Linked DNA regions of Rhinolophus ferrumequinum. The protein of the gene in region 1 interacts with the protein of each later gene in a pairwise test. Links are inferred from orthologs where the notes say so. Each region holds a gene or a part of one and is shown on either strand. Other genes may lie near its edges. The genes, in order: SNCA, ARFGAP3, TOR1A and myomegalin.

Region 1 (7,969 bases):
CAGCAGTTATATTAGTGGCCAATGGCTCATTGGTTACAGGTGATGGCCAACTAGCCATCCAATCACAGTTGATGGCCATTTACTACCTGAGCCAGCACCTTTCCACGTGAGGCCGAGAGCCTGGAAACTGCGCTCCTGGCTCTGTCCCCACAGGAACTCATGAATAATATTTAAATATTTATGAAGAATTATTAGACTGAATATATAGACAAGTTCTTGTCCCACTTTTGGGAAGATAATCAGAGAAATTTAACTCAAGTGATGTTTATAAAAATTAAAAATAGACAATTGATTAAATATATGTTACAATGTAATGTTTTATAGTAAAAATGACATCACAAATCTGTATTCATTGACATGGATAGTTTTTGATGTTAAAGTATTTATCAAATAACCATTAAGAAACAATTTCTTCTCTGAACAATTTCCCTTTCTTAATCTCAATGATAATGTGTGGTAACAAGCTATCAAAACATTAATGATATGCTTTTTAAATAGCGTGGAAGAAAATATCTAAATGCCACTGCATATGCAAATTATCTGTAGAGAAAATATATTAGACGCCTGGATAATTTTGATATTATATGGAACATGCTCCTTTTATTAGTTTCCTATGATTTCTCTCTTGGCAAAGGCATTATTTCGGTCCAAAACACTGCGCAAATCATTATAAATTCCCCTGAAATGTTTTTTTATCCATTTATTTTCTGCCTTTCTGAACACAAATGCAGTTGAGACGCAGAAGTAGATCTGTCATTGTCTTATCAGTCTGTCCGTTCTTCACTCACCTGGAACATTAGAGGCTGAGTTTATCTCTGAATTGGATATTCATTCTGAAGCCTTTTTAGAGCTGCTGTCACAAGTCTGGCAAACTTGGAACACCATTTGTTACATCATTTTATTTTGCTCCCTCGGCAAATCAACAGAATTTATACAGAGCTCTTACACTGCGCCTTTAAAGAAACCAGGCTCCAAGAATATAAAACTGTCAATAAAGATAGAGAATATTAATTCTACCACTGTCACTATATTTCTTCGGGCTACTGATGTGATCTGCTGTGAATGATGTTACTGTAATCCACATGTAGTGCAGGGGATCCTGCCGACTACGCCAAGTGTCGTGCGGGGTGTCAGGCGGGGTCTCTGGTCCCACTCCCCACACAAGAACGCAGGACATGGTGAGGCCAAACAGGAACACCCACGGAGCCATAGGTAGGGGAGTCACACCACTATACTCTCACTGGCGGCTGGGTTGGAGACACAGGAACCAGGAGCAACACAATTCTCAACCCTCACTGTGCCGCTTGCAGACTCAGCCACCATCTTCTTGCTAGCTCCCCCTTTTTTTTCTTTTTTTTGCTAGACTAGCCACCGCAGTTATATTCATAGCTAATGGCTCACTGGTTACAGCTGACGACCAACTAGCCACAGCTGCTGGCCATTTGATCACAGTCGATGGCCATTTACTACCTGAGCCACCACCTTTCTATGTGAGACCGAGAGCCTGGAAACTGCTTTTTGGGGCTCTGTCCCCACACCACATATTAGGGTGAAAAAAGAGATTTTGGGCAGATTTTATATTAACGACTCCTATCAATGCTCCTTGAATCCCCCCATACTATCTCCTCACAACTTCCATCCATGGTGGGAAATGTTTTACCTAATACCATAGTAAGCCAAAGTTATTGATGAGGAGGCATTAGAGAACTTAAGTGTGTTTAGGGTGAGATGGGAGGTTGGGGGGGGGATGGGAAAATGTTGAAAACTACTACAATGAAAAAAGTATTTCTTAAGGCACCCTAAAACATGGGGGGCTAGATAATAACTACTTGTATCGACAGATTCCACTGTGCTTTGTTCTTTACTAAAACTATATTATTTATTCTTTACAACAATCACACAAGTAAAATGTCATCCTCATTTTGTCAATAAGAAAATTAGAGATTTAGAGAGGTTAGATACTTGCTCTGGATTAGTGATACCAAGTTTAACTTGTATGCAGTTTCTCCACTCTTAGAAGTCAACCATGTTCACCAGGTTGTAGTGCGTTTCTTGAACTCATAAATATATTTCTCCTTCTAATACTTATCTCTACTTTTTCGATCCTAAAATATTTAAATATCTCTTCTGTCTGACTTTGAAGATTTTAACTTGGATTCTTGCATGTCCTCATAGCTTTAGTACCACAAAAAGCACAGGGATATTTAAAATGATATACAATTTAATTTTACATACTTTGCATGGCACTTTCCTGTGGTCACAATTTCTACATTGTTGAGGATATATTAATATTATCATATTAATAAATATGATAAACCATATTATGCTAGAATAAATGTCCATTATTTTGTGCTGCCAACAGTACTGTAACAACAACATGAAGTTGCCCCTGGTGTCAAACTAGAGAATCTTCTTTGAATGCTATACTCCCTCTTCATTGCTCTTTATATCTCTTTCGAGTAACCCTATTGCCCTGTTTCAAGCTCAGCCTCTTTCCAAAATCATACACAATGCCATCCCAACTATATGCATTAGGCTTTCCCCTCTATGCCTACTAGGAAATTACAAGGGAGCCAACCAAGATCTCACTACCTCATATTTTTCATACATTTGCATAACATGAGAGGAAGGTGCAAAGAGAAGATAAGAAACAGATTAAAATCTCTTTAATCACTCGGTCAGATTCCTCATTTTTCACATCATTTCATTGCAGCACAAGCTTACTACATGGCACACCTAAAAATCCGTGTTTAATGAGAAGACAAAGAGAGTTTAGGTTAACTATGCATTTCATAGAATGTTAATCTGTAACTAATTTACTGTATTAAACTCAAATACAACAATCCTATATAAGAGTAGCAAAATATTTAGAATTCATTTGTCAAAGAGAAAGCCAATCATGTATGATGTACACTAACAAGACGTACACATTAGTAATATTTCCCAATAGATCATTCTTCTATATCCCTTATGAGGTACAGGCCATTCAATAAGATTATTTTCAAAGTTATATTCAGAGAGTTAAAATTTTACTCAAGGCCATGCTATCAATCAATGATGAAAAAAATCTTTAGTAGCAGTCAGTTCCCTTCTTTGTTCTTGAGTAGTTCTGCCGCTTTACGAATACAGAGCTAAGAGACTACAGGTAGAACATAAATAATGTCACTATTAATATTATTAGTAATTAAAAGTTTATTGATTGCTTACTATGTTCAAGGCACTTTAAGGGGCGAAAAGAGGAGTGAAACATAAACTTGTAATTTAAAATGACAAAAAAATTGTTTTGCATTTTTGTGCGTGTGGGGGTTGTGAGGAATCATCTCCCCCTGCTGAAAATGACCAATATAGAAAAGGCAAAATGTCAAATATGAAGGCACTGTTTTATAATAACATAAATTCTCCTGGATTTCCATTGTCACATCCAAATTTAAAGGTTATTTCTAACACAGTTGGATCTCACCTTTTCCCTCCCATTTGATAACATAACCCATCTGTAAGGTTCCAGAGAGTAAATGCTAATTCTGGAGACAAATGTGCCTTCTGGAACAGTTCCTGCTAGATTATCTCAGCTCTGCTACTCAAGAACTAGATAATCTAGTTCTGTTACTGAAAATTTTTTAGCTTCAGATTCCGTCTATAAAACATACATAATGAAACTTAACTAACCCACTTGTTATGATTAAATAATATAGTACATCAGTCCTTTGCCAAGTACAATTTAAAGGTTTGGAATCATGCTGTCCTATAACAAAGACAAAAAAGTAACGACTGCTCAAAATAATTCTCTCATTGGTCTGCAGTGGGGCCGAAAATATCAGTCATTTTCTCCCCTTCAGAGGTTCCTGTTAAACTATAAATATGTCATATGAAATAATATATTAAATAATTGTCATAACAGTCTATCAAGGGACCTAGCTGTGATGGGTCACAGTGGAAAACATTTATCATTGTCAGTAATAAAAAAAAAATAATAATCAAGAGCAATAAAAAGAAACAAACTACTGATATATGCGACAACATGAATGAACTTCACACATTATGCTGAGTGAAAGGAGCCAGATATAAAAAACAACTTCATACTGTAGGATTCCATTTTTGAAATTCTTGAATATGTACAACTAAGAAGGACAGGAAGGAACTTTCTGGGGTTGTGAAACTGTTCTGTCTTCAAAATGGTGTGAGCTACATGAATGCATATGTTTTTCAAAACTAATTTGAAGACCTTAAGATTTGAGCATTTCACTGTCTATAAATTATACTTCAGTTAAAAAAAGACCATCTGAACATTATTGTTATCCATTTTTAGTTCTTATCTGTCATGGATGCATGGTGAAATATTTACAGATGAAACAGACATATGTAATTCTTGGAATTTAGTAAAAAATGCAGAAGGAGAAGTGATAAAAATTGGAAAGTGGACAGGCATACAGATGATTAGCCATAAATTGAAAAATGGTGGAAGTTGGGTGCTATTCACAAGAGAGTCTTTTATTTTCTCTACTTTTGTATATGTTTAAACATTTTCCATAATAAAAGGTCAAAAAGAGAAGTGTTATTTGGGTTAACTCCTCATTTACAAGAAAACTGAAAGAGGACAAAACTTGTAGAAAGTCTCAAAGCCAGACAACAAACCAATTTTCAAGTTTAACCTTCTTTTCTCTGACCCCAAGGAAACAACAGGAGAGTTTTGGAAAGGCTACTTTTAAAAAGGGTAGACCAGTGATGCAAGGAATTGTTTAATCAATAATGTATACTTGCTTCCTGTCCCTTTCGGTTTCAAATGGTTGTTTTGTAGATTTAAATTGCATTTTACTCAGATTTCAAACACAAGTGAGTGCAAGGGTGAAAGAACACACCCCCACAAAATAAATAAATAAATAAATAAAAACGCATCGCAAAGACTTATTTTTCCCTTCCAGTGCTAAAAATCACCCTCCCAACCAGGCAAAAAAAAAGCAAAGACATTCTGTTAGGAGGAGCTTGGATCTCCATTCGGTGTGATCCGGGAACAGCTTTTTCCCTCCAGCTCTGAAAGAGGTGAAAATGTATTGAGCAATGCAATAATTGTCTTGAAGCCTGCGCGGGTTTGTCGCGTGTTTGTGTGTCTCCGTGTGTGTGTGTGTGTGTGTTGGGAGAGGGGGGGTGTCAGCTCCGAGGACAGCGTGAATCAGGTGTCAGAAAGGTGAGTGGTGTGTAAAATCGCGGTTTCAGAAGAGATCGAAGACGAAATTGGATGTAATGGTTCAGGAGCATAAACCACGCTAGGTTTGTCTCCTGCACCAGGCACTTGAGTCTTCAAAGTAAATTCCATTTCGATGTCTAAAAGCCTTACGACCACTTGGTTTCGACGGCTAAGGAATATTTATTCCTTGTTCAGCTGATGGGAAAACCTGCGTCTGGCAGCCCCTGATTGGTGGAAAAGAAAATGGTGATAGTGGAGTGGGAAGAGGATTTGACAAGCCTTCTCCTGCCTCCTCAACCTGTAACTCTTCCTTATTTGTCTCCTCTCTACCCGCAGGGCCCTTTCGGGTACAGGCAAGGTTCAGAGCAAACGAAAATAGCGGATATTTAAGCAAAAGCACCCTTAACGTTGGGTCCTACGCTCATTAATCAAATTTCAGCGATCCGAGGGAAACGTGCTCTTGGCGGTGCCAATGTGAGCAATCTTGAGCTGTCTCCTTCAGCAGCTCCCCAAGAGCTTGGCTCTATCTTTGGTGGTTGATCCCTCAGACCCCCACGCCCCCAGGTAGGTTCTGACCTGGGGGTCCCCGTGAGGATCCAGAAGGAAAGGCAGAGACAGGGGAGGGAAAGAGGTAGAGAGATGTCAGCCAAGCTTAACGGCTCCGGATCGCCCCAAGAGTCCCTGTGACTCTGAACTTGAGGTGAAGCTCAGAACACCCCCACCTTCCCGCCTCCCAGGACCAGGCGGGCGGCAGGAGCTGAAGGTACAGCATTCCCCCCGCCCCCACCCCATCTCCTCCCCATCCAGAAGAGGAGTGAAGTGCAGGCAGCGCGGAAAGCAGCGAGAGGCAGGAGAGGGGCGGGGAGAGGCGCTGACAAATCAGCTGCGGGGGCGTTGAGCAGAAGAGGAGGAGGAGGAAAAAGAGGAGAAAGACCGCGACGACACGAACGGACCCGAGAAAGGGGGCGAGTGACCGAGCGAGCGCGGGGACGCGGGTGAGGTGTGTGCTGGTTTCAGCGCCGACCTGGGGGCCCAGCCTTGCCTTTAGCATCCTTCGTGCCTTCTCCCCGCCTTCCTTTCCATCCCTCTATCTCTTTCTCTGGGATCCTCTTGTGCGGGGTACGGGGAGTGGCTATTCGACGACAGGTTCGTGGGTTGCCTCCCATGCCCCTGGCCTCTTATCGCTGGGTTGTGCTGACAGCGGCCTCCTCTGGGGACCATCCTTCTTCTGGTGCCGCTTCGCCCCTTCCCGTGCGCTCCTTACCCACCCTTTTTCCATTTAAATAATATTTGGGAATTGTTTAAATTTTTTTTACGGGGTGTGGGGTGGTATCGTAATTCTGAGGAACAGAGGGACTCGGATAAGTACCTGTGGATCTGAATGGGCAGCTTTGGAAAGCCTGGAGAACACCTGGTGGGAGAGGAGTCATTGGCAAGGAGAGGACGCCTGGCAAGGGGGTTGGTGCTGCAGGCAGAGAGGACCCGTTCTATCTAATTTAGGAGATGGGTATGTCCCTTTGGTCGCTTGAAGAAAGTAAGTGAGTGACCAGGCTTTCCTCCAGCTTTACATACTTCCCTCGTCTTGTCCTCAGAAGCTGAGAGGTCAGGCTTCTCAGGGAATCGCTTTTCCTTTGGGAAACGCAAGGATGTTGGATGGAGCGTGAGCATCCAACTTTATTTCTCTCTTATCTTTTAACACCCCAGCACGCCCTCACGGTTCTCTCAGTACAGTAAACAACTACCTGTGTTTGGCAAATAATTAAATGGAAGTGCAGATCGGACAAGTCAACAGGTGGTAAGGGGTTAACAGGTGCGAGGCAGGGAGTAGGTTTACGCGCGCGCAGAGAACACCCCCTCCGGTGTCGGGCGAGAGTCTCTCGGCTGCCGGCGGGTGTGAACAGGCGCCTGCTCCGTGTAGATAGCTGAGGGCGGGGGTGGATGGTCCTGTGGATTAGAGCGACCGCGGGTGGGCTCTCAGAGGGCCTGAGGTTCAGCCACACCCAGGGTGAGTAGGTCTCTTCCCCGCTCTCCCTGGTCAACCTATTAGCCCTCTTCTTGGATTCATTTTAAGTGTCCTTGACCCCATGCCCCCAGCTCCCTTTCTTTCCCTGTGATCTATCTTCTAAACGTACTTCTAACTTTATACTGCCACCGTTTGGACCCTGGGAAGTTGAAAGAGGGGTCCATCTTTTCATGCACCTCCACTTTGGAAATGCAGCAAGAACAGCTGAGATGATTCATCCTAAACCATGTTTAGGCGGCTAGACTTTTACTAGCCCAGATGGATAGGGGTGCTAAATTTGTTATGGAAAAGCTGAAAGAAAAAAGAAAAAAAAAAAAGACTTCATTATCTAAGGGTACATTTAAAAGAGTCTCACCCTTTGGGGAGTTTTACTGACCTTTCAGGGGATTTTACTTTGGGTGGTTATAGTTTTGTTTTGTTTTACCCAAAAGTTCTCATTCAAAGTGCATTTTGTGTTCTCCAGTGTGGTGTAAAGGAATTCCTTAGCCATGGATGTATTCATGAAAGGACTTTCAAAGGCCAAGGAGGGAGTCGTGGCTGCTGCAGAGAAAACCAAACAGGGTGTGGCAGAAGCAGCAGGAAAGACAAAAGAGGGTGTTCTCTATGTAGGTAGGTAAGCCCCAAATGCCATTTTGGTATTTATTTATGACTGATGGGTTAGGATAATTGATGCTCTCAATGGTAGTATTTCTCACTTGATTCATTTTTTCTTCATCACTTGTCAAAAGGATAGACTGAGTCAGAGATATGTGACTGTGTATGTT
Region 2 (7,085 bases), on another chromosome or scaffold:
TGAGGGTTCTCTGAGTTTCCTGGATCTATAGTTTTATAACTTTCATTTGTTTTGACAAATACTCACCATTATTATGTCTTCAAATAATTTTTCTGCCCATTCTCTCTGTTTTCTCCTTGTGGGACTGTAAATGTTTGCTATTTTCCCACAGCTTTTAGATGTTCTGTTCTTCTCCCCACCCACCCCTTCTCTTTGTATTTCAATCTGGATAATTTCTGTAGATCTTTTCCATGTTTCTCAGCTGTGTCAAGTCTCCTTATAAGGCCATTGAAGGAATTCTTCATGTCTGATATTGTGAGGTTTCGTTGTTATTTGTTTCTAGTATTTCCATTTGACTTACATGTACTTTCCATCTCTCTGCTGGAATTTCCTATTCTTTCATATATGTTGCCCACATTTCCACTAGATTATGTAACATAATAATCATAGTGATTTTCAAGTCCTTCTCTGACAGTTCTAACATCTGGAGCTTCTCTGAGTCTGGCCCTATAATCTGTTGATTATTTTATTCCTCGACAATAGTTGTTTTCCTTGCTCTTCTGTGTGTCTCATAATTTTGTTTGTTTGTTTGAATACTGGACATTGAGTACGGAACAGTGGTCCTCAACCAGGGGCGATTTTGTCCCTATAACAAAGAATTATCTAGTCCAAAATGTCAATAGTGCTGAGGTTGAGAAACCCTAATGCACAAAAATACCGTCGGAAGTAAATAGTATTTACAGTTTAAAAAAGGGCCCACTTCTGTCAGGTTATTAGTGTGGGGATTGCATTAATTTAGGTAGGAGTTAAGCTTGGCTTTGTTGTTGCTCTATTTACCCTCAGTGCACCACAGGATGTAACCTTGTGCTTACAGTACGGGCTAGGGTCCTAGAGTTGTTTACTGTCGCTCTTGTCCCGCCCTGTGGTAGACTGCTGCTGCTTGGTACTTAGGGCTGGGCTCAAGAACGTGTGGGTGGAGGTTCTCTGGTGACCTGGTCCAGCCTGTCTTAGGCCTGTGGGCCTGGGGCTCAGGGATAGGACTTTCTCAACATTCCTGCCTTCCTTCTGATGACAGTAAACCTGTCATGGTGTCTGTGGTTGGTGTTGGTTGGAAGTTTCCTCCCCCTCTTCCAGTGTAGCCAACCTCAGTTTGGTATGGGTATAGGATTCTGAACCCAAAGAGTTTCCTGAACTTCCCCCAGGGGTTGAGGAATTTTGCTTTTATCCTTCCTCCTGCAGCAGTGAAATTTTGTCTCTTTACCCTCTTTAAGAGAGAGAGGATTTCTTATTCCCTTTTGGACTTGGTATTCCGAGGTTTTGCTTCTATTCCTCCTGTGGCAGAAATGGATATTTGTCTGTCACCTGAAGGAGAGTTTGCTGCTTTTGCTTTTTAGAAGTATGTGGGGGTTTGTGCCTGTCCCTCAACAGCTGGATGCCTGCCCCACAAGGGGTTTCTCTGTCTCCATCTTTCTTATGAAGAAAGATTTCTGGTACAGGTTTATGGAAAAGAGCTTGTGAATGAATATAAACTCCCTTTATGTCGGAGGCGCCCTAACTACTCCAAATGCTAGCTCACATTTCACCTTTAAGAATATTTAAAAAATTTTTTATTGGGGAATATTGGGGAACAGTGTGTTTCTCTAGGGCCCATAAGCTCCAAGTCATTGTCCTTCAATCTAGTATGGAGGGCGCAGCTCAGCTCCAAGTCCAGTTGCCGTTTTCAATCTTAGTTGCAGGGGGCGCAGCCCACTATCCCATGCGGGAATTGAACCGGCAACCTTGTTGAGAACTCACGCTCTAACCAACTGAGCCATCCGGCTGCCCCTCCGGAAGCTCAATGGTAGCTGGTTATCTTCAATCTAGCTGTGGAGGGCACAGTTCACTGGCCCATGTGGGAATCGAACCGGCAACCCTACCGCTCAGAGCTCGTGCTCTAACCAACTGAGCCACACAGCCACCCTGGCCTTTAAGAATTCATTACACTTTTAGGTGACCTCCTCTTACTCACTTGCATGGCAGCCACCTTTCTCCTGTGCTCTGCCAAAGCTAAGGACTTCTCGTGTGCATCTCTTTTTGGAGAGGCTTGTCTCTCTTGGAAGTCAGTTTACTTGGTTGTTTTGTAACCTCAGCAATCTGATGGGCTCAAGAGAAGGTATGACTTTGTAGATTATGCAAGGCTTTTTCTCATTATGATATTGGGAGTGACGCTCTTTACACATTTATACTTTCTAAGCCCATTCCACAAATCTTTGTTGGATACATTCTACACGCTAGGCATTGTTCTAGGTGCTGGGGTTAGAGAGGTAGACCAAATAGATCTGATCTCATGAAATTTATATTCAATTGAAGGGCGGCAAATATATTTACGTATTATAGTATCAGGTGGCAATAAGTTCAATGAAGAACACGTAAGCAGATGAGAGAAGACAGTGATGGTATTTTCCCCTTCCCTTACACCTGCTTATTCGTGTGGACACTATCTATACTTCCTCGTACTTTTTGTCTTCTCCGAAGGGATCTCTGTGTTGAAGAGTGGAGTAAACACACCCTGCCCTAACCTGATACATAACTTAGTAAGATTTCAGCTCCAAACAGTAAATGGGACCATCATCCCCATCAGAAGACTGTTCATGAATATGCCAGGTTTTCTATTTAAGGCCAAACTAGTACCAACAGACACAAAATACAGGGGTATATACTTGGACTCAGTGGAAGGAAGAACTTTCAAATAGTCATAGCTGTCTGCAAAAATAAAGTACTGTTCTGGAAGGTAATAACTTTCTCTTCCTTGGAAAAGTTCCATCCTAGTCCTGGCAAACTTTCAACTTCTCCGAGGGTATGTAACCGGATAGGTTAAAAGTAGACCATCACCAAAGGCTTTTCCAGGGCTTCTCTCTGGGCAGCTGCTCTCCTGTGCTGCTCAGCACGGATTCTTCATCTCTAACCCCATCGTACAGATGAGCAAACCAAGCTTCAGAGAACAGAAGTGACTTGAGCAAGATCACAGAGCTAAGAAGTAGCTGGCAGGACTGGGCCTGGTGCCAAGGTATTGCATTTGATTCCAAAACCTGTTATCTTTCCTTGCACCACCCAACCTCAGGCAACAGTTTCTGGTGGCTCCACACCCACTTTTGTAAAAGAAACCCCTTCCTCCAAGTTTAAATCCTTCTAGCGAGTAATGTTAGCCAGCGGGTATAGATCAGTCTGAGGTGCTGGAAACGTTGAGCTGCTTCTCGTCTGTATTCGATTCTGACTGAGCACTTTTTGCCTCCTGACAACTGCTCTCTCTCACTGACCTTCGACCCAAACTGATATTTAGAGAAAACCAATTTTCAGCGTAGAAAGCTCCCTACCCAGGGCAAGAAAAAGGGGATGATGAAAGTGAACTGGCATTTTAGGATTCTTAACCACGGAGCTGGAGGGACTTGTGGGTGGAGCCGGGCCCTTTGTTGGCTCTGGTCTGGACTTCCTGTTGAACTCTGTGGCAATTTCCCGGGGAGGGATGCGAACAAAGGGAGAAGCCATGTTGACGCTGGGTTCCTTTTTCCACGTGGGCCGCCGGAGGGCGGTCCGGGCTGCAAGTGTGCTGGCACTTCTGGGTGGTTCCGTTTCTTTTTCTTTTCGCGAATAAACCCGTTTTCTTTTGGTGGATTAGCTGGAGAATGATTAGGCCAGTCGACAAGGACTAGTGAAAACCCTGCGTCCAGACTCCAGTCCTCTGTCAGAAACGGCGGGTAGGCCCTTTCCCAGGTTTCCTCCTTTGTCACTTCAAGTGACTGGTTCTGCCGCACTTACGGGATGGAAGTGAGAAGACCTTGGCCACGGAAGCAGTCCGTTACGAAGGCCACGCGCACGGGACGAAACCCAACCCAAGCTCAGGTTCGCCACCCACTGCCCTGCACGAACGGCAGACGAGGACCTGGAAAACGCGCACGAGCCTTCTGTGCACGCGCGTGCAGCGCCGGAGGCGGGGCTGCAGTGGGCGGAGCCAGCGGCACAGCGGAGCGAGGCACCCTAGAGAAGAACGGCGCGTGCGCTCCGTTGTGGGCGGGGCCATGGGCGGGACCTGGCCGTCACGCGAAGCCCCGCCCCCTGGGCCGTCGTCTAGCTCCGGGAGGCGGCAACCGCTCCTTGTCAGCCCTTCTCGGTTGTAGGGGCCAGCTGCGCCCTCGGTTCTCTGGTGACCATGGGGGACCCCAGCAAGCAGGACATCCTCACCATCTTCAAGCGCCTCCGCTCGGTGCCCACCAACAAGGTAACGGCCGCCGGGCGCGCTCAGGTTTGGTTGGCATCCCTGCCGGACCCCGCGGGCCGCCCCTGCGGCGCCAGTGGCCGCGGCAGTGGGAGGAGGAGCCGGTTTGGGCTGTGACACGTCGCACTTGCGGCCGCTGGGCCTCTCCTGGGTCCGGACCGCTCGCCGCCCCCCAGTCTCAACAAGGAAGGGGCGGGGAGGGTCGCACACAGGGACTCGGGCGGGGCGGCGGCCAGGGTCCTGGGGGCGGGAGGCGAAAGCACCTGGGGGGTCCTGGGGGCCGGGGGCAGACACTTGTGGGTTCCGGAAGCCGGGCCAGGGCGGGGGCGGCTTTGGGGGTGGCCGAGTGGACACTGTCGAGTTCCTGAGAGAGCTGGGGCCGAGATCGGGGACCCCGAGAGAGCTGAGAAGGATACCCGGGGTCCCTACGAGTGAGGGCGACACCGCAGGCCACCTGTGACCCAGCTGGGAAGCACGCAGCGGGTCAGAACTCCAGCTGGTAGCGCTGGGCGTTTGGAAAACTCAGCTCGCTCCCTTCCCCACTCGTGAACTCATCTCTAAAGTTCTCCCGGGGGCGCCTGCGGGAGCCTGCCTGGTTCCCTCTGTCCTTTGATGGCAGCGTCAGTGTCTCTGATAAAGCTGCCAAGTGGTCTGTGCAGTGGCTTCCAGCTCTTTTCTCTTGCTAAGAAAGCCCACACAGACCCTTTCTCTTTCTTCCCCTTGGGTCTCTTTGGAGATTGGGGGTTTCCTTTTTTTGCCATATCCAGAGGCTCTCCCCCGCCCCCGTGACTTTTACAACTTTTCAAAACTGGCTGGAGATGTGATGACACATCGGGCTAAAGTGACACCCTCCGCTGAGGATCACAGGTCGGCGTGGAACCTGGAGAGTGCAAAGGGCTGTCGCGTCAGTGTGGACTCTCCCCTCCCTTCCTGTGACAGTTCTGTCTGTTCCCCGTGGTCGCCTCCAAAGTGAACAGCTGTTAAGGAGCATGGTCACAGGAGCCATGACGTGATGGCAGAGAAAGTTCCTGAGTTTTACAGAATTTAGGTGTCTTTGTTTTAAGTCTTGATGGGGGAGGGGAGCGCATCATTTTGCAGCCTACAGCCTTTTGCAGAAAGGGAGCCCTTTATTGGAAGTGATGTCTGATGGAGGTAGGAAAGTCAGGAGGAGAAGGGCTCCAGGAATCCTCCAGGGCTGATTTCTGTGCTAGTTTCTTGATTTTCAGGTTTAGATTGACCCGTTTATAAAGAGTGGTTCCTGTAACTTGAATTCTTCAAAGGGAAGGTGCCCTTTTCAAATAAGAAGTCAGTGCCTTTCTACCAAGAGACACTTTGAGGGACACGTGTGGCTTGCTTATAAATTGTTATCAGGACCCTGCTACTTTCTGTGTCACCTTGGGCAGGTTACTTGACGACTTTGTACCTTGTTTTCCTCATCTGAAAATGGGACATGAGCAGGATCTGACTCAGAGGGTTATTGTGAGGATTAAATATTTGAGAAAATCAAGGAAAAGCAATTAGAGCAGTACCACCGTATACTAGTCTTCAATACACATCAGCTCTTTTTTGTTATTGTTATTTTTATTATGAATAACACACCTGTGGAACATTTTATATGCTGTAATGGGATTAATAAAAGCATTGAGCAAAAATATTTTCTGGTAATGTTCCACACTACATTTTTTTGTGTGTGTTACATTTCTTGATTACATTTTCTTACATTTTATGGTTACATTTCTTACATTTTTTGGTGTGTGTTACATTTTTTGATTAAGACTTTTTATTCGATCATTAGTAAGAAACCATTACCTAAACAAAGATGAAAACTAGTTTTAGAGATGTGGAAGAGTTGTAGGACACGAAGCATTTTCAAAATGGGGTTCTGAAAAGGAGCTGTAAGGTACACGAGACAGGAAAGGTAGGTAAAGAAAAACAAGGCGGTTTACTTTCAGAATGTGGTGTCCAATTGCTTCCTCTCGTGTATGATGACCATTTACTCTGGACCAAAGGTTTTAACTCTTAAGGGTCAGCTTTCTAGTTTGTAAAATCCCACCTTGAAGCTATACTGTTCCTTAGTTTTATATTGATTCCTTAAGTTATTCATTCAACAAATATCCATTGAGCACCTGTGGTGTGCTGGGCACCGTGCCAAGCATTGAGGGTACACTGATGTACCCTGAATAAAGAGACAGGCTCCGGCCTTCTCGGAGTACACAGTCCGGTGGGTGAAGGATGAAGGCTGCTGGCTGTGTGAGAGGCAGTGTGATGATGGATGAAGAGGGGGCCGGGGCGCAGACTGCCTTGGGTCCGGTCCCCGTGATACCCCTTCTTAGCTGTGATACTTAATTTCAGAATTCCTTAGTTTTCTCTAAAATGGGGGTCAAAACTGCACTTCCTGATTGGCATGAAAATGCAGGGCCCTTGTTTGAAAAGTATTAAGAATTTCAAGATGAGACAGGAGAACGTGAAGCAGTCATGGGCCCTTCTGAGTACGGGGCCCAGATCACACACACCCAGGAAGCGGGCCCCGATGGGGACGACAACCGTACCTTCTTATAGGGTTGTTCTGAAGATTTGATTGGCCAACGACAGTGCCTGACAGGGAGTAAACAGTCAATATTAGCTTCTTTCTATAGCAATTATTATTCTCATCATTAGGCAAAACAAATTGTTAGTCAAAACTGTTTTTCGTCACCATAATAATTAATACTCTGCTTAGAAAAGCATGTCTCAACTTGGGTTTGGGATTTTGTATGAAAACAAAGAGCAGTCCCACTCTCAGCGCAGTGTCCTGCGAGCAGGAGAATCAAGGCGGTGTGTGAGAGCCAGGCTTGGATTTCTAACTGCTTCCCGA
Region 3 (7,183 bases), on another chromosome or scaffold:
TGGACCTGGGCATCGAGTATGTTTCAAACCCACGATCTACCTCTCCCCTGCCCCTAGGCTGGAGGAAGAGCTCTCTGCTTTCCAGTTCAAAGCTGAGGGGACTGTTTCTTACCTGTTTCCTTGGAAACCTACACAAACTGTATTCTCTCTGGTGGGCTGAGATGGTGGTCCCAAAAATTTCTCTGAAGAGTTGGTCAGAGTCGTAAAAGAGACTTAGGGACCCTGACTGCTGAAAGCAACAGTGTTTATTTTTATTTAGCCTTTGTTCACAGGCCCTTGTATTCTGTTTTATTCTAGCAGGAGCAATGTTAAAGACTTAGCCACCCCGTAATCTTTATCTTTTTTACTACAGAACATCTGCTCTGAAAGGGATGCCTGTGGAGGAGATACAGTGGTCAGAAACATCTTTGGGTGTAGTAGAAAGTTGGGAGACTTCTGAGTTCTTGCCTGTTTTCTGGCCTTTCTGGCTTCAAGCCTTAGACCATTCACTTTACTTGGAGGCTCACTTTCCTCTTGATCAGAAGAGGATAACTCCCCACCTCTCCAATAGTTGTGAGAGCTCCCTGAGAATGTGGCCATAAGGCCCCAAGAAAGACGGTTTCCTCCTGCAGTGGTAGGCTGCCAGTCTCACCGTGCATTTCCTTCTGAGGACCAGAGGTGTGGTGATCTAATGCGTGGCATGGCTCCTTTCTTCCCATAGTGCTAAAATAAAAAATATCATTTCCACGGAGGATGCCAAGGCCCGTCTCCTGGCAGAGCAACAGAACAAGAAGAAGGACAGTGAGACATCTTTCGTGCCCACCAACATGGCGGTGAATTACGTGCAGCACAACCGATGTAAGTTCCTCTGGGGAAGCAGCCCCGCTCCTGCGCCCATTGGTTTGAGGTCCCCTGCTTCCCATGTTTTTTGTCTGACGTGTCCGCTGATCTCTTTTGGTCCAGTTTATCACGAGGAGCTCAATGCCCCCATTCGGAGAAACAAAGAAGAGCCCAAAGCCCGACCCTTGAGAGTGGGTGACACAGAGAAGCCGGAGCCCGAGCGTGAGTACAGCAGAGGCCTCGGCTCCCTGGAGCGGTCACATTGCTCAGGGCCCATGGAGGGGGTGGAAGTTGGTAGGGGTGGAGCTTGGCTTTGGGGCCAGAGCAGCTGGGTTTCAGTCCATGCTCTGGACTATGGTCACGTGCCTTCCCCTTTCCAAACCTCAATTTCCTCATCTATAAAATTGGGAGAGTAATAAAACCTACCTCTTGGGGTTGCTCTGAGGACTCACTGGGCTGTCAAATATAAAAGAGACCCCCAAAATTAGAAAATTTTCAATAAACAAAAATAAAAGTTATTTATAATTTCACCACCCAAAGATGACCACTGTTAACGTTTTTATGTATAACCTTTCAGACTTCTTCAATATTCACACATCTAGGAAACATTGTATATACACTTACTGGGGTCTCATAGCGTTTTACTCACTACTGCACCCTGCATGTCTGTCCATGACAGTAAATACCTACTTTCCTTTTCACTGGCCATGTCACGTTCCATTGCATAGACAGATCCACTGTAGTCTATCCGTTTACCTCTGGTTGGACACTTAGGTGGTTTCTCACTTTTCCTTTGTTACACAGTGTTTCGGTGGTCATTCTTGATGACATCATGTCCGTAGGCTACATTCTAATAAGTCGCCAAATGATAGCCGATAGTCTAGAAGTGTGATGCTCATGTGTTTTCTCAGCATCCGACAGTGCCCCTTCCCACAAGCTGACCGGCACCAGGAGGGCTCATCTTTTTTATCAACAGTGGGATGATTCGAAGGAAATGCAAAATTTGCTGAGGCTGTTACTCTGTTTCTTCCTTCCTCCTTGAGAAATTATTTTCTGTAACATCTTGGTTTTACAAAACCAAGGTCTTTGATACCTTGGGTCTTTGATTCCCAAAGAGCTTCATGTGATTCACATGTGGGGAGCAAGGCCTTTGGAGTCACCAGACTTGGGTTCAACTCTCAGCCTATTTCCACTTTCTGAGTGACCTTGAACAAGTCACCTAACCTCTGAGCACAGATGGTAACATGCCCCTGCTACGATTGCTGTGAGGGTTAAAGGAAGTCATGTCTGAAAGGATTTAGCACCATGCCTGGTACATAGTCACACTCTCAGTGAAGCGTAGCTACTACTGTTCACCAGTCTAATGCTGACGTCAGCATATTTTGGCTGGCCCTTCACCACATTCACTCAGTAACAGGTATTTACTGAGGCCCTATTCCGTTTCTGTTATTAGGGTAGGCACTGGGGCTCCTGTGGGGAATGAGACAGGCATGGTCCTTTCCTTTGTGGAGCTAAAGCCAATCGGCGACTTCCAGCGTGGCAAACAGCTTTTCCTCTCTGCCTTCCCAGGGTCCCCTCCTAACCGCAAGCGCCCCGCTAATGAGAAGGCCACTGATGACTATCACTACGAGAAGTTCAAGAAGATGAACAGACGGTACTGAGGGTGGCGAAACGGGAGACGTGCAGCATGGGGTGTAAATAAATAGCACTGCTCCCCGCCCCCTTTTCCCCCCCATGATAAAAGCCTTCCTGGTCAGAAACCTGATCGTTTGCTAGCAGACAGTTCCCAAAACAGATTCTATTAGTCCAGCTGCTTACTTGCTGGATTTGTTTTTGAAACAAAACAATACGTAGTTTTCTTATTTGGGGGCAAACTGTTCTTGTGAGCATTATTAAATCTTGTTTGTAAATATGTTGACTTCCTCTTAATATTTGCCCTGGGTCAGGAGGAAACAGCGGTGTGTTCAGGGTGAGATACAATACCCTTTAAATTGTGCTTTTATTGTATATATAATCATGCCTTCCACTTTCAAATATCTGGAATAGGGTTTAGAGATGCATCCTTCGTTGTTTACGGTGGATCCAGCTGACAGTGAAAAATGTAGGATAGCATCAAAGGGACACTGGTATTTTCTGACTTTTACAAAGTTACCTGTTTCTCTTCAATAAGAAAGAAAATAATTTTTATCATCTCCAGCACTTAAGTATTAAATGTAAAATGAATCCAACCTTTTTGTTTGTATTGTGTCTCCTTACACCAACACTAGGTAATGTGTTCAGTGTGCAGGGGTGGGGCAGCTCCAATGCAAAACTGAGTTACTGAGACAGATCTTCTCATTTAGTTCAAGAGACATGGATAGGCCCCAACCTGTTAGCTGTCAAGTATGATGCCATATGTGCTGTCATTTTTCTGAGGAATTTAAATAGCTCAGGATGAGGAAAGAGCATGTCGGTTGATTTGTGGGCTGATTTAGAGTAGGCGTTGTGGTTAGAGAAGTTTGGTTTGGAGTCAGATCTGAGCTCTGCTCACAGCTTATTATTATATCCTTGGACAAATCCCTTTCCCTCTGAGCCTCATCTGTAAAATGGAGACCTTTTTTTCATTTTTCTTTCCCTCCCCTAGAATGCAAGGTGAAGGGAGGAATTATGTGTTACTCATTGTTTTCTTGAATCCCCAGGGTCTAGTCCATAACGTGACACATAGGCAGGCTTCAAAGCTATGAATGAGTGCAAATAACTTTACAGTGGAGAAACTGACAAACACGATCTTATCCAGTGATGAATTTCAACATCAATGGTCATAAATCATGTTGACAGTCTATACCCTTGATATAATGTTATAAAAATAGCACTTTGTATATTCTTCTCCAAAACTCATAACCCCAGTCTAACCGAGATAAACATCAGATTCCAGTAGTGTCACATCCTACAAAACGTTTGACCAGTACTCCCCAAAACTGTCAAGATCATCAAAAGGAGGCAAGTTTGAAAACCAGTCATAGCCAAGAGGAGTCCAAAGAGACATGACAACTAAATATAACGTGGTGTCTTGAATGGGATCCTGGATCAGAAGTGGGACATTAGGTAAAACTAAGGAAGTCTGAACAAACTTTAGTTGTATATCAATATATAGGTTCATCAATCTAGGTTTATATGTAACATACAAATGTAAGCTGTTAAAAGGGGAGACTGTACCATGTGGGGAGGGGTGGTGACTATGAGACCTCTCTGTACTGTCTTCTCTATTTTTCTCTAAATCTAAAACTTAAATTTTATTTTAAAAACACTAACGTGGCCCCAGCGGCTTCCGGCGCCCACCTCCCGGAAGCAGCAAAGGGCTCTGCCCCTCACAAAGATGGCGGGCGCCGGCGACACGGGAGGAACCGGAAGCGCGGTCTAGCGCGAGCGCGGGCCCGTGGCAGGCTCGGGACGCGCACGGAGGCGCGGGTCCGGGCATGAAGCTAGGCCGGGCTGCGCTGGGCCTGCTGCTGCTGGCGCCGGTGGTGGTGCAGGCGGTGGAGCCCATCAGCCTGGGACTGGCCCTGGCCGGCGTCCTCACCGGCTACATCTCCTACCCGCGCCTGTATTGCTTCTTTGCCGAGTGCTGCGGCCAGAAGCGGAGCCTCAGCCGGGAGGGTAGGACGGGGCGAAGGCTGGGGGCTGGGGTCGGGGTCAGAGGCGGGGGTCGGGCCTCGGGGGCCAGAAGCCCGGACAGAGCTGAGGCCAGCGGGGCCGCTACGCGGAACCGGGACCCGGAACCCGAGGGCCGGAGGGTGCGGGGTGGGGCCACGACCGCGGACAGACTGGACTTCGGTCCGACAACAGGAGGCGAGCTGCGGGTTGGGCTGCTTCCCGCAGAAACGGGGGGTGTGGCAGCTGTAAACGCCCTCCAAAGAGTTTTGCGCCTTCTTGGCTGGAGACCGGAAGGATGGTGCGGGACCTCCTGGTGCGGACCCGTGGTGGCCAAACTGCAGCCTTCTTCCTGCGCGGCCCTGGGGCAGGAGGAGCAGAGCTGGGGTGAGGGGTGCACGCTGGTGGCAGAAGCAGTGGAGCCAAGGTCCTTTTCAGGAAGGAGCTAGGCTCCTGCCAGGGCTGTGGAATGGGCAGCACTAGCAGAGGAGATGCCTCCTGGACCCACCTGCCATCCTGGGCCAAGTGCTTACATACCTCATTATTTCATAAGGTGCTTGAAGAGCTTAGCTGGCTTTCACATGAGCCTGTTAACTTGGCTAAATTTTGCTAGCTGTGTGCCCCCCAACCCCTCCATGACTGGCTTTGTCTTTCCCAGTGCTGCAGAAGGATCTGGACAGCAAGCTCTTTGGACAGCATCTTGCAAAGAAAGTCATCTTAAACGCCGTGTCTGCCTTCATAAGCAACCCGAAGCCCAAGAAACCTCTCACCCTCTCCCTACACGGGTGGACTGGCACTGGCAAAAACTTTGTCAGCAAGATCATCGCAGAGAATATTTACGAGGGTGGTCTGAACAGTAACTTTGTGCACCTGTTTGTGGCCACATTGCACTTTCCACATGCCTCCAACATCACCCTGTATAAGGCAAGGGCAGAATTTCAGAACCCTCCTGGATGGTGCTGGGTTAGGGGGTATCTTGGTTGTGGGGTGAGACCTGAGAATTGCATGTTGAAATGAGTGAGCTCTGAATATGGCTGCGTGTGTCAGTTCCCCTTTGAGAGGTGTGGAAGTTACAGAGGGTTGGAGACGCATGGGGTAGTTAGTTACACTGTCAAAGCTTTATGGTTTCCAGAAATAGGCCCAGTGTGATTCTCATTTTAGTAAGTGAGGTCGTAGGATTTTAGAGATGGACATGATCAGATCCAGCTTAAAGATCATTAAATCTAACTCATTTTGCAGAGGACACGTTTCTAGAGAGGCCTAAGTTTGTTTAACTGCAGTGTTGCAAACTCCTTTTACAGTTTAACTCTGAATAGCCTGTGTTTTGGCAGCAACCCACCTGGACTTAAGTCCTAACTACCTTACCAGTTGCGTGATCTCAGGAAAGTTACCTGACCTCTCTGAGTCTGAGGTTCTTTATCTGTAAAATGAGGGTTGTAAGAATTCAGAGAGCTCTGTCAAGTGTGTGTCATGGGATCTGGCTGGCACATGAGTGTTCAAGTAAGAGTGAACTATCGTCTTTTTTAATCCATGTAACAAACCTGTGAAGTGGGCAAGACGCTCAGAAATTGAGCCCGCACCCATGCGAACACATTTTTCCCTTCTGCTTGGGGGAACGTGAGGGTCACCAACTGTCCAGGGTTTCCCAGGATGTGGGCTTTCCAGTGTTAAAACTGGGAAAGTTCCAGACAAATTGTGACAAGTTGGTCATCCTAGTTAGCATTCAGGCTCCACTACGTAGCTGTGTGACTTTGGGCAAGTTACTTAACCTCTCTGTGTCTCAATTTCCTCATCTGTAAAACAGGGAATGCAATAGCATTCTATTGCACACAACTTGCATGCATTTGGAGAGATCACAATAAAACGTTACGGGAACAGTGCTTAGGACAGTGACTCAATACATGTTCTCTGTTAACTGCCTGAAAATTGGGGTAACAGTGAGAAAACCTTGGCTGCTCAGGAGCCTAGCAGATCTGAGCGAATCCCTGTTTAAATAGTGACTCACTTTGGGGTCTCACACAAGTTGCTTCAGTTCTCCGGAGGCTCCTCCTCTCTAAATAGAGGCTAGTTAGTCCATGCCTACAGAACAGAATTACTGCTTAGGTTAGATTTGTACACGTGGAACATTGTAACCGTGGTCATAGTAGCCAAGCAAAAACCAAAGCCATAAAAAATCAAGATGTACATTGTAACGTCCAAAGTCTTCCTCAGAAAACAGCTCATTTCTCCACCTTGGGGATGAGGGGAGGTCTAGGAAAGCAGTATATATAGAACCATTGCTCAAATTTTGATTAAAAGGGTCTTTTCTCCTTACCTTGATTGCTTAGTGTTGTAAGAAGTATCTAAATATATCCTTATGGAATGTTTCTGTTTCAACCAATTTATTTCAGAAACCGCCAGGCATTGCTCTAGAAACTCAAGAGTGTCAGTTAGCTGACGGCACTGGTGCCAAAAGCGCGTGTGTTCTCAGGTTCAATTGCCTCGTTAAAGGAGCCTGCATTTCTTACTTTCCCCATCGGAAAGTGAGAGAAACTTCTCCAGGCTATTCTCCAGAATAAGTTTGTCTCTGCCTTCTTCCTAGAAGGCTGGTGTACACAGGATATGTGCTAACATTGCCATTTGAATGACAAAGGACCAGCAAGTCAGTGCCACAGCAGCAGTGTGACATCTCATAGCACAGGAATTGTAATCAAACTGGGGCTTTGCAATCAGATGGGGTGGGGTTCGGATCCCA
Region 4 (7,192 bases), on another chromosome or scaffold:
ATTTCCAATGTCATAACTAAGGCAATGAAAACCTAATAAAACTGGCTTGAGACATGGGGATTTTCCACATCTCATTCTCTTGGAAACTCCTTCCTCACCCAGAATTAGGTCTTAGAAACACTACAACACAGAGGGTACAAAAGTGGCTAAGGTTCTAAGAGAGCCTTCCCAGGGCTCCATGATCTGGAGATCAAAAGAGAGATAGTGCAAAAGATCCTGGCCATACTAATATTTAGGAAGTTTGTTCCAAATTAGTGATAATTCTCTAACGTCAACACTTTTGTAAGTAGTTCTTCGTTGATGGGTTTTCCCATTTATCTGCAGAGTGTCTAATCTTTTGACTGACATTTTACTGAATACAGTTTAGGATTGTTTTAATTCAGTGGTTTTCAAAGTGTGGCTCCCAGACAGCAGCCAACAGCAGGATTTGGGAATTTATTAGGAAAGCAAATTCTTGGGTCCCACCCCAGACCAACTGAATCAGAAACTCTAGTAAGTAGGTCCCAGCAATCTCTGTGTCTTTACAAACCCTCCCTGATTCCAACGTACGCCAAAGGTTGAAAACAACCGTTTAAATTCAACATTTGTAGATTAGGAAATTAAGGACCAGTTATTAGTGATTTCACCTAGGACATACAGCTAACAAGTGCTTGGGAGTGCACTCATCAATCCATTTTTGAGGGCAAACTGCTGATATAGCAAATGAATAATTTGTTTAATTTATAATAGTTTGTCACAATATGAAACCTGTTCTCAAATTTTCCTTTCTTATGTACCTTTGATACGTTTTAGAAATAATCATCCTATTCTAAATGATCATAAAATCCCGAAATCTCACCTTAACAACATGGCATGCTTCAATCGTAACTGTGTGGTGTGCACAGACATATAATAGTTTCCAAAGCTCATATGGATAGGAACCATAAAGTTTTGAATGTGCAATTGGGCCTTTTATAGAAAGAGTTCTAGATTCTTCTGGGTTCTAATGTATCTTCTCAATTTTCAAACCTATTCTTATGATAAAGTGGGGTTTACTTTCTACCAAAGAAATCCATCAGATAAAAGTTTATGGGTAATATATATTTTTATATTTATATACCCCTTTTTATCTTTCTATAAATTGAACTATACCAACATGTATAAAATCTACAAATCTAAGAGTTCAGTATATGAGCTTTGATGGTTGTACACATCCATGTAACCATCACCCAAATCAAGATAAAGAACAATTTCATCACCCCAGAAAATTTCTTTGTACCCCTTTACTGTCAATTCTCACCCTATCTCGTCCCCTAAAATCACTTCCTGAATTTCTCGCACTATAGATTCTTTTTTTGTTGTTGTTAGACCTAAAATAAATGGAATCTCATGGGACGTATTGATGGGTATATGACTTGTTTCATGCTTCATTCATGTGGGCATCAAAGTTCTTTCTTTTTTATTGCTGGTTAGTACTGCATTGTATGAATATATGAAAATGTGTTTTTGCTTACCTTTTTCTTAGTAATAATTTTTTTTCTTATCACGAAAGCAATACATGCTTATTATAGAAAATGATAGAATATCAAGGAGGAAAGACGAAAATAAGCATCCATAATTCCATTCTCTAGACATAATTGCTGTTTAATAACTTGTATATTCCCTTTGAACCTTTGTTTATATGTTGTGCACATATATGTAATATATATAGTTATCACGTTACAAAGATTCTCATTTTAGGTTCATGTTTTACTACTTAGACTCTGATACTCGTGTGTTAAATTGGCTCAGTTCTTAGTTTTTACTATAGAATATTCTCTAAATTTAAAAAAAATTAAAAAATAATAGACGACTACACATTCATGGCCAAAAATTCAAATGACACGTGGTATATAGAATAAAAGTAAATGTTCTTGTTGAGCCCCACCCCCTTTTGCTTGCCTTCCCATACGTAGCCAGTGTTAACTAAATACAAAATCTTGACCAAGATGACATTCGTGAGGACCGTGAAATGCTGAATTTATTATCTCTTATCTTAATTTTTAAATTTAGTATTACAGTTTTCTTCTATGTTTTATTTTTCAATTTTTGCGTTCAAGTTTTGCTGTCTACACACCAGTGATCTTTTAGTTGGGATGAAATGATTTTATAATAACAAATGATTATGTTAGGACTATTTCTAGTACTAAAGTTTACTATCCATTTTGAAATATGGTTTTTACATATTTTCTCTAGGAGTGAATAGAGTGCTAGCTTCAAATTTTCTTTGATTGAGTGATTTATTCCGATCTGTTGTTGAAAGCCTCGATATGTATAGCTCTCTCTTTTGGTATGTTGATCTGTACTTATAGCAAACAAATTCTCCAATGGTAAATCGCCTTTTCTCCATTTATACTGATTTGCACTTCTACACGAAGCTGTCTATATACTCATTCAAGTTTAGAGACGCTCGGCCAGATGCACAATTTTATTAAGGAACAGAGAATATTACAAAGTATTCTTTAGTTTGCTCCTGAAAAGCACTTTGTTTCATTAGCATTTTCACCCCCTGGGAAAACGTGGCTTGCATTCAGTCAGAGATGAGGCTTGATTAATTTGTTAGGAAATTTTTGAATTTGCACTTTTATGGAGTTTTGAGTCCTTGCTGCTGTTTAGGACAATACTTAAGACAGCGTCAGCAGGGTCGTGTCCTGTAGGCCAGAAACACCTTGCCTCTCTTTAGATCATATAGATTCCAAAGACTGTTGTTTAATTTCTTCTGACTTTAGAGTTCCTATACCTAGAGGCAGGCAAAAATGCAGCTGAAATGAGTTTTACTCTTTTTCTCGTCTTTGGTTTGAGGGCCAGAACACGCAGATTTAGGTGAAATCACATACGCAAAGTTTTGGAGCCTGTGAAGCCCCAAAGCTCTAAGGACTGACCTGTCTTCCAACGGAGCTACTAAGATTTTTGTTTTGGTGATTAAAATAAATGACAGAACAGTACAATCTTATGTGTGTAGAGCCCCATAAAGTTTTAAAATTACTTTAAAATAGTCCCTTTATTACAATATCAAAATAACAGTATTAAATATTAAATATTAAATATTAAAATTACAGTATTAGCTATTATTTAAGGAGCTAAGCATTGTTACAAAGTACTTCCCCTAAATCATCTCATTTAACCCTCGAGACATTTGGAGGCTTTTATGAGCTCTCACTGAAGGCATTTGAATGTCTCCAGGCTTAGGAATGTGGGTTCTGTCTTGCAGATGAGGTTCAGCAGTGCTTAAATACTGTTGTTTGCCTTGACCTCTCACAAGGTCAAGTTAGTGACATTTAGCATTATTGTCACTGGGAAATGTGCTCCAGGTGATTGCTGGGTCGGTTTTTCTTCCTGTTTGGTGTCTGCCTGCCTCTCAAAGCCAAGAAAATTCTTTAAAAGTACATTAACACCTGGATCCCTCCTGGTCAGAGCTCCGTGTTCCCTCCAGTGTTTGCTTGCGCCCAAATTCTACACCCAAGGTTGGGTGACTTACAACTGTATGGTGGTGAATAAGACATGGTACTAACTGAAGTCAGTGCAATTCCCAGCCCTAAGTCTGCACAGAGCAGCACGGCCTCACACGCTGGACGCTTTTGTTCCAGAGTCTGTCTACCCTCTCCACCCCTCAAATAAGGACTGTAGTCTACCTGAACCTGAAAGAGAACTGGGTGACGGTAATCTACTCTCAGGTGTCTACATTCTTGAAAAAGTCCATTTTGTCTGCTATTATCTACAAAATCTTGGTTAACCAGCTGCATTCACGTGGTATTTCCGGGACTCTTTCTCAGGTGACTGCTTTGTGCCTTCCCTTGATTTCTTTTGTTAAAAAAAGGGGGGTGGGCGCAAGTCATCAGAGTGCTAAAACCCACCACCCACACCCTCCAACACTTGTCTTCTTCTGTACATACTCCGGATAGCCGAGGGAGAGGTAGAACGGAGCCTCCTTAAATCCGCCCTACCTGCCTCCTCTGGTTTAAGAACCCTTTCTCCCCGCCGGCCTCTGCAGCCGCAGGGCCTTTTAACGCAGGCACCGGCCTGGGGAGGGAGAGGAGGTGGGGCCGCAGGCGGGAGGGGAGCGGCGCGCAGCGGTACCTAGTGGCGCGGCGCGGCCCGGCGGCTCCATCCGGAGTACGTGGCACTAGCCGTGGGGAGAGAGGGAGGGGATTCGGCTTTCTCTTCCCCACGCAGCGCCTCGGGACATCCTGCAGGGGCGACAGTGAGGATCCAGGAGGGAAGTGGTGCGCTTTTTCGGTGGAATCTCAAACGATGAAAGTGGCCTGGCGGTAGTCAGCGTCCGCCCCGCATTCCCCTGGGTACCCACTGTGAGCCAGGTCTGTGTTCCACCGCGAGGAGCGGTGACCCGATTGGGGGGTGAGGGAGACGCGGTCGCCACCCCGCATGCGCAGAGCGGGGGTGCGGCCTCCAGGACTACAGTTCCCAGAGGAACGTGCGGGTGGCCGCAGGCGCGAGCCGCTGGCGCCATCTTGAAATCTGATCCTCAATCTCCGAGCCTTTGCGTCAGCGGCCGGCGGCGGCGAGGGGACGGCGAGCCCAGCCCGCTAGAAGCGAGGACGCTGAGGACGCGGCGGCTGGCGGGAGAGACAGCTGGCGGAGACATGGCAGGTTCCGAGCGCGGCCTGCGCGGCTGTCACTCAGCATCCCCCTGAGGCGTTTCTCCGCCCGCGCCCTCCCCGAGGGGCGGGGCCGACCACTCTGGTACCCAGAGCTCGCGCGCGGGGCTCGGAAGAGGGGCGCCCCTGCACCGTGGGGACCCCCCGGGGCTGTGCCATGCCGGCGGGAGGCCACCGAGGCGGGAGACGGAGCGCAGCCAAGCGCCAGTGAGTGATCGCCGAGCAGCGGGCGCCTCAGGGAAGCGCGGCAGCCGCCGGGAGGGAAGATGAAGGAGATTTGCAGGATCTGTGCCCGGGAGCTGTGCGGGAACCAGCGGCGCTGGATCTTCCACACGACGTCCAAGCTCAACCTCCAGGTTCTGCTTTCGCACGTCCTGGGCAAGGATGTCTCCCGCGACGGCAAAGCCGAGTTCGCTTGCAGCAAGTGTGCTTTCATGCTCGATCGGATCTACAGATTCGACACCGTTATTGCCCGGATCGAAGCCCTTTCCATCGAGCGCTTGCAGAAGCTGCTGCTGGAGAAGGACCGCCTCAAATTCTGCATTGCCAGCATGTATCGCAAGAATAACGATGACCCTGGCGCGGAGCCCAAGGCGGGGAGTGGGACGGTGGACATTTCCGGCTTACCCGACGTGAGGTACTCTGCATTGCTGCAGGAAGATTTTGCCTATTCGGGGTTCGAGTGTTGGGTGGAAAACGAGGACCAGATCCAGGAGCTCCACAGCTGCCACGCTTCGGAAGGCGCTGGACACCGTCCCAGGAGATGCCGCGGTTGTGCAGCTTTGCGGGTTGCCGACTCTGACTATGAAGCCATTTGTAAAGTGCCTCGGAAGGTGGCCCGAAGTATCTCGTGCGGCCCTTCTTCCAGGTGGTCCACCAGCATTGGCACTGAAGAACCAGCACTGTCCGAGGTGGGGCCACCGGACTTACCCGGCACCAAAGGACCCCCCGATGGCGAAAGCATGGAGGAAGGGACACCGGGATCCTCAGTGGAATCTTTGGATGCAAGCGTCCAGGCTAGTCCTCCACAACAAAAGGACGAGGAGACTGAGAGAAGCGCCAAGGAACTTGTCAAGTGTGACTGTTGCTCAGATGACCCGGCTCCCCAGCCTGTGTGTAACCACAAGCTGGAGCTAGCTCTTAGCATGATTAAAGGTCTTGATTATAAACCCATCCAGAGCCCCCGAGGGAGCAAGCTTCCCATTCCGGTGAAATCCAGCCCACCTGGAGCCAGGCCTGGCCCTATCATGACAGATGGAGTTAGTTCTGCTTTCCTTAACCGGTCGTTGAAACCCTTTTACAAGACACCTGTCAGTTATCCCTTGGAGATTTCAGACCTGCAGGAGCTGTGGGATGATCTCTGTGAAGAATATTTGCCACTCCGGGTTCAGGTATACAAAATGGCTACATCGTGCTTCTTTGATCATAGTTTTCTGGCCCCCAGGCTTCACGTGATTTCTGTCTAGGTGAAGGTTAATAATAGTCTAGACTGAAGGATATTATTTCTAGAATTAAGAAAATAATCATTGCACCCATTTTTGTTGCACCTTTTGCTTGTGTCCCATTTAAATGAGACCCAGTAAATGTGTCCCAGTAAAGGAGATTCACATTCAATTTGCTTTTCATAATCCTCTTTGTAACAATATTGGCCTTCCCATTCATTATCAAAACTGCAGACCTTTCAAGACAAAAAGATAAAGATTTCTAATTCACGTTTACCCAATGAAAAGACATATAATCTTACTTCTGGCACTAGAACTCTTCCCTCCTTCCCCCTTCTCACCCCCTTTTTTGTTTTGTTTTCGTGTTTAGATTTGTAGATGTTTTCTCTCATTCTGTAAGGGAGTTAGTTCTCCCTGAAACATTAAACCTTTTATCCCCGATACGCCTCAAACAGATTAGAGCATAGGGTAAAGGTTTGGGGAAAACCTATTAATTCACCAAAATATTGTAACATGTGGACAATATTTATACAAAAGTAATAGGTCATTTGAGGACTAATGATGACTTGCTCATAAAAGAGACTTGGGAATTCAAGGGTTGTCATTTAAAATGTTAAGGCGAAAACTGTTCCCAGCCCGTTAGTCTATTGAGCTTCTTTAGGAGATGTGTAATGATATTAAGAGAGGATTCATCCATTATTGAGTGATAGGAAAGTTTCATCCATTATACTCTCTGAATTTCTTAATGACCAGGATATGGCAATTGATCTTAGTTTGAGCTGTTCATATCTGCCGAATTGATTTCGTGCCAGCCTTTTAAATTCAGCTATATACAGGGACCTGACAGATGCTGTTGTGTTTCTATAGCAACAGTAAATGCTAGGTTCAGTTAACTTTGTGAAACATCTGGTATGTTCTACTTGATACAAATTCTTTAGTGATACCTTTACAAGGGTGGACAATCTAGAAGGCATTTTTGGAAAGCCTGCTAAGGTCAACATCATCCTAGAAATTTAGAGCTAGGTAACAAATGAAATTGTAAAATTGTATCCAATAAGAACTTAAGCAGAAAATGGGAGACGTTTTTCAATTTACACAAAATTGTCAGAAACAGCG

The links.
Region 2: the proteins of SNCA (region 1) and ARFGAP3 interact in binary tests that used the Homo sapiens proteins (3 or more experiments, as listed by UniProt). The link is inferred for Rhinolophus ferrumequinum from reciprocal best matches to the Homo sapiens genes SNCA and ARFGAP3.
Region 3: the proteins of SNCA (region 1) and TOR1A interact in a two-hybrid assay, tested with the Homo sapiens proteins (2 studies listed by BioGRID, with this or other methods). The link is inferred for Rhinolophus ferrumequinum from reciprocal best matches to the Homo sapiens genes SNCA and TOR1A.
Region 4: the proteins of SNCA (region 1) and myomegalin interact in a two-hybrid assay, tested with the Homo sapiens proteins (2 studies listed by BioGRID and IntAct). The link is inferred for Rhinolophus ferrumequinum from reciprocal best matches to the Homo sapiens genes SNCA and PDE4DIP.

Annotation. Positions count from the first base shown.
Region 1 is NC_046288.1:43,471,575-43,479,543, reverse strand, and holds the start of SNCA (alpha-synuclein), read left to right. Parts: upstream 1-4,963; 5' UTR 4,964-5,037; intron 5,038-5,518; 5' UTR 5,519-6,177; exon of another isoform or gene 6,178-6,182; intron 6,183-6,189; exon of another isoform or gene 6,190-6,328; intron 6,329-7,063; exon of another isoform or gene 7,064-7,187; intron 7,188-7,668; 5' UTR 7,669-7,693; coding exon 7,694-7,814; intron 7,815-7,969. UniProt on the Homo sapiens protein: Neuronal protein that plays several roles in synaptic activity such as regulation of synaptic vesicle trafficking and subsequent neurotransmitter release.
Region 2 is NC_046293.1:5,520,880-5,527,964, forward strand, and holds the start of ARFGAP3 (ADP-ribosylation factor GTPase-activating protein 3), read left to right. Parts: upstream 1-4,074; 5' UTR 4,075-4,165; coding exon 4,166-4,234; intron 4,235-7,085.
Region 3 is NC_046295.1:78,213,210-78,220,392, reverse strand, and holds the start of TOR1A (torsin-1A), read left to right. Parts: upstream 1-4,165; 5' UTR 4,166-4,274; coding exon 4,275-4,455; intron 4,456-5,107; coding exon 5,108-5,373; intron 5,374-7,183. Other genes in the region: C12H9orf78 (splicing factor C9orf78 homolog), read left to right, coding at 1-16, 701-837, 943-1,041, 2,389-2,480. UniProt on the Homo sapiens protein: Protein with chaperone functions important for the control of protein folding, processing, stability and localization as well as for the reduction of misfolded protein aggregates.
Region 4 is NC_046305.1:49,320,714-49,327,905, forward strand, and holds the start of myomegalin, read left to right. Parts: upstream 1-4,181; 5' UTR 4,182-4,900; coding exon 4,901-6,025; intron 6,026-7,192. UniProt on the Homo sapiens protein: Functions as an anchor sequestering components of the cAMP-dependent pathway to Golgi and/or centrosomes.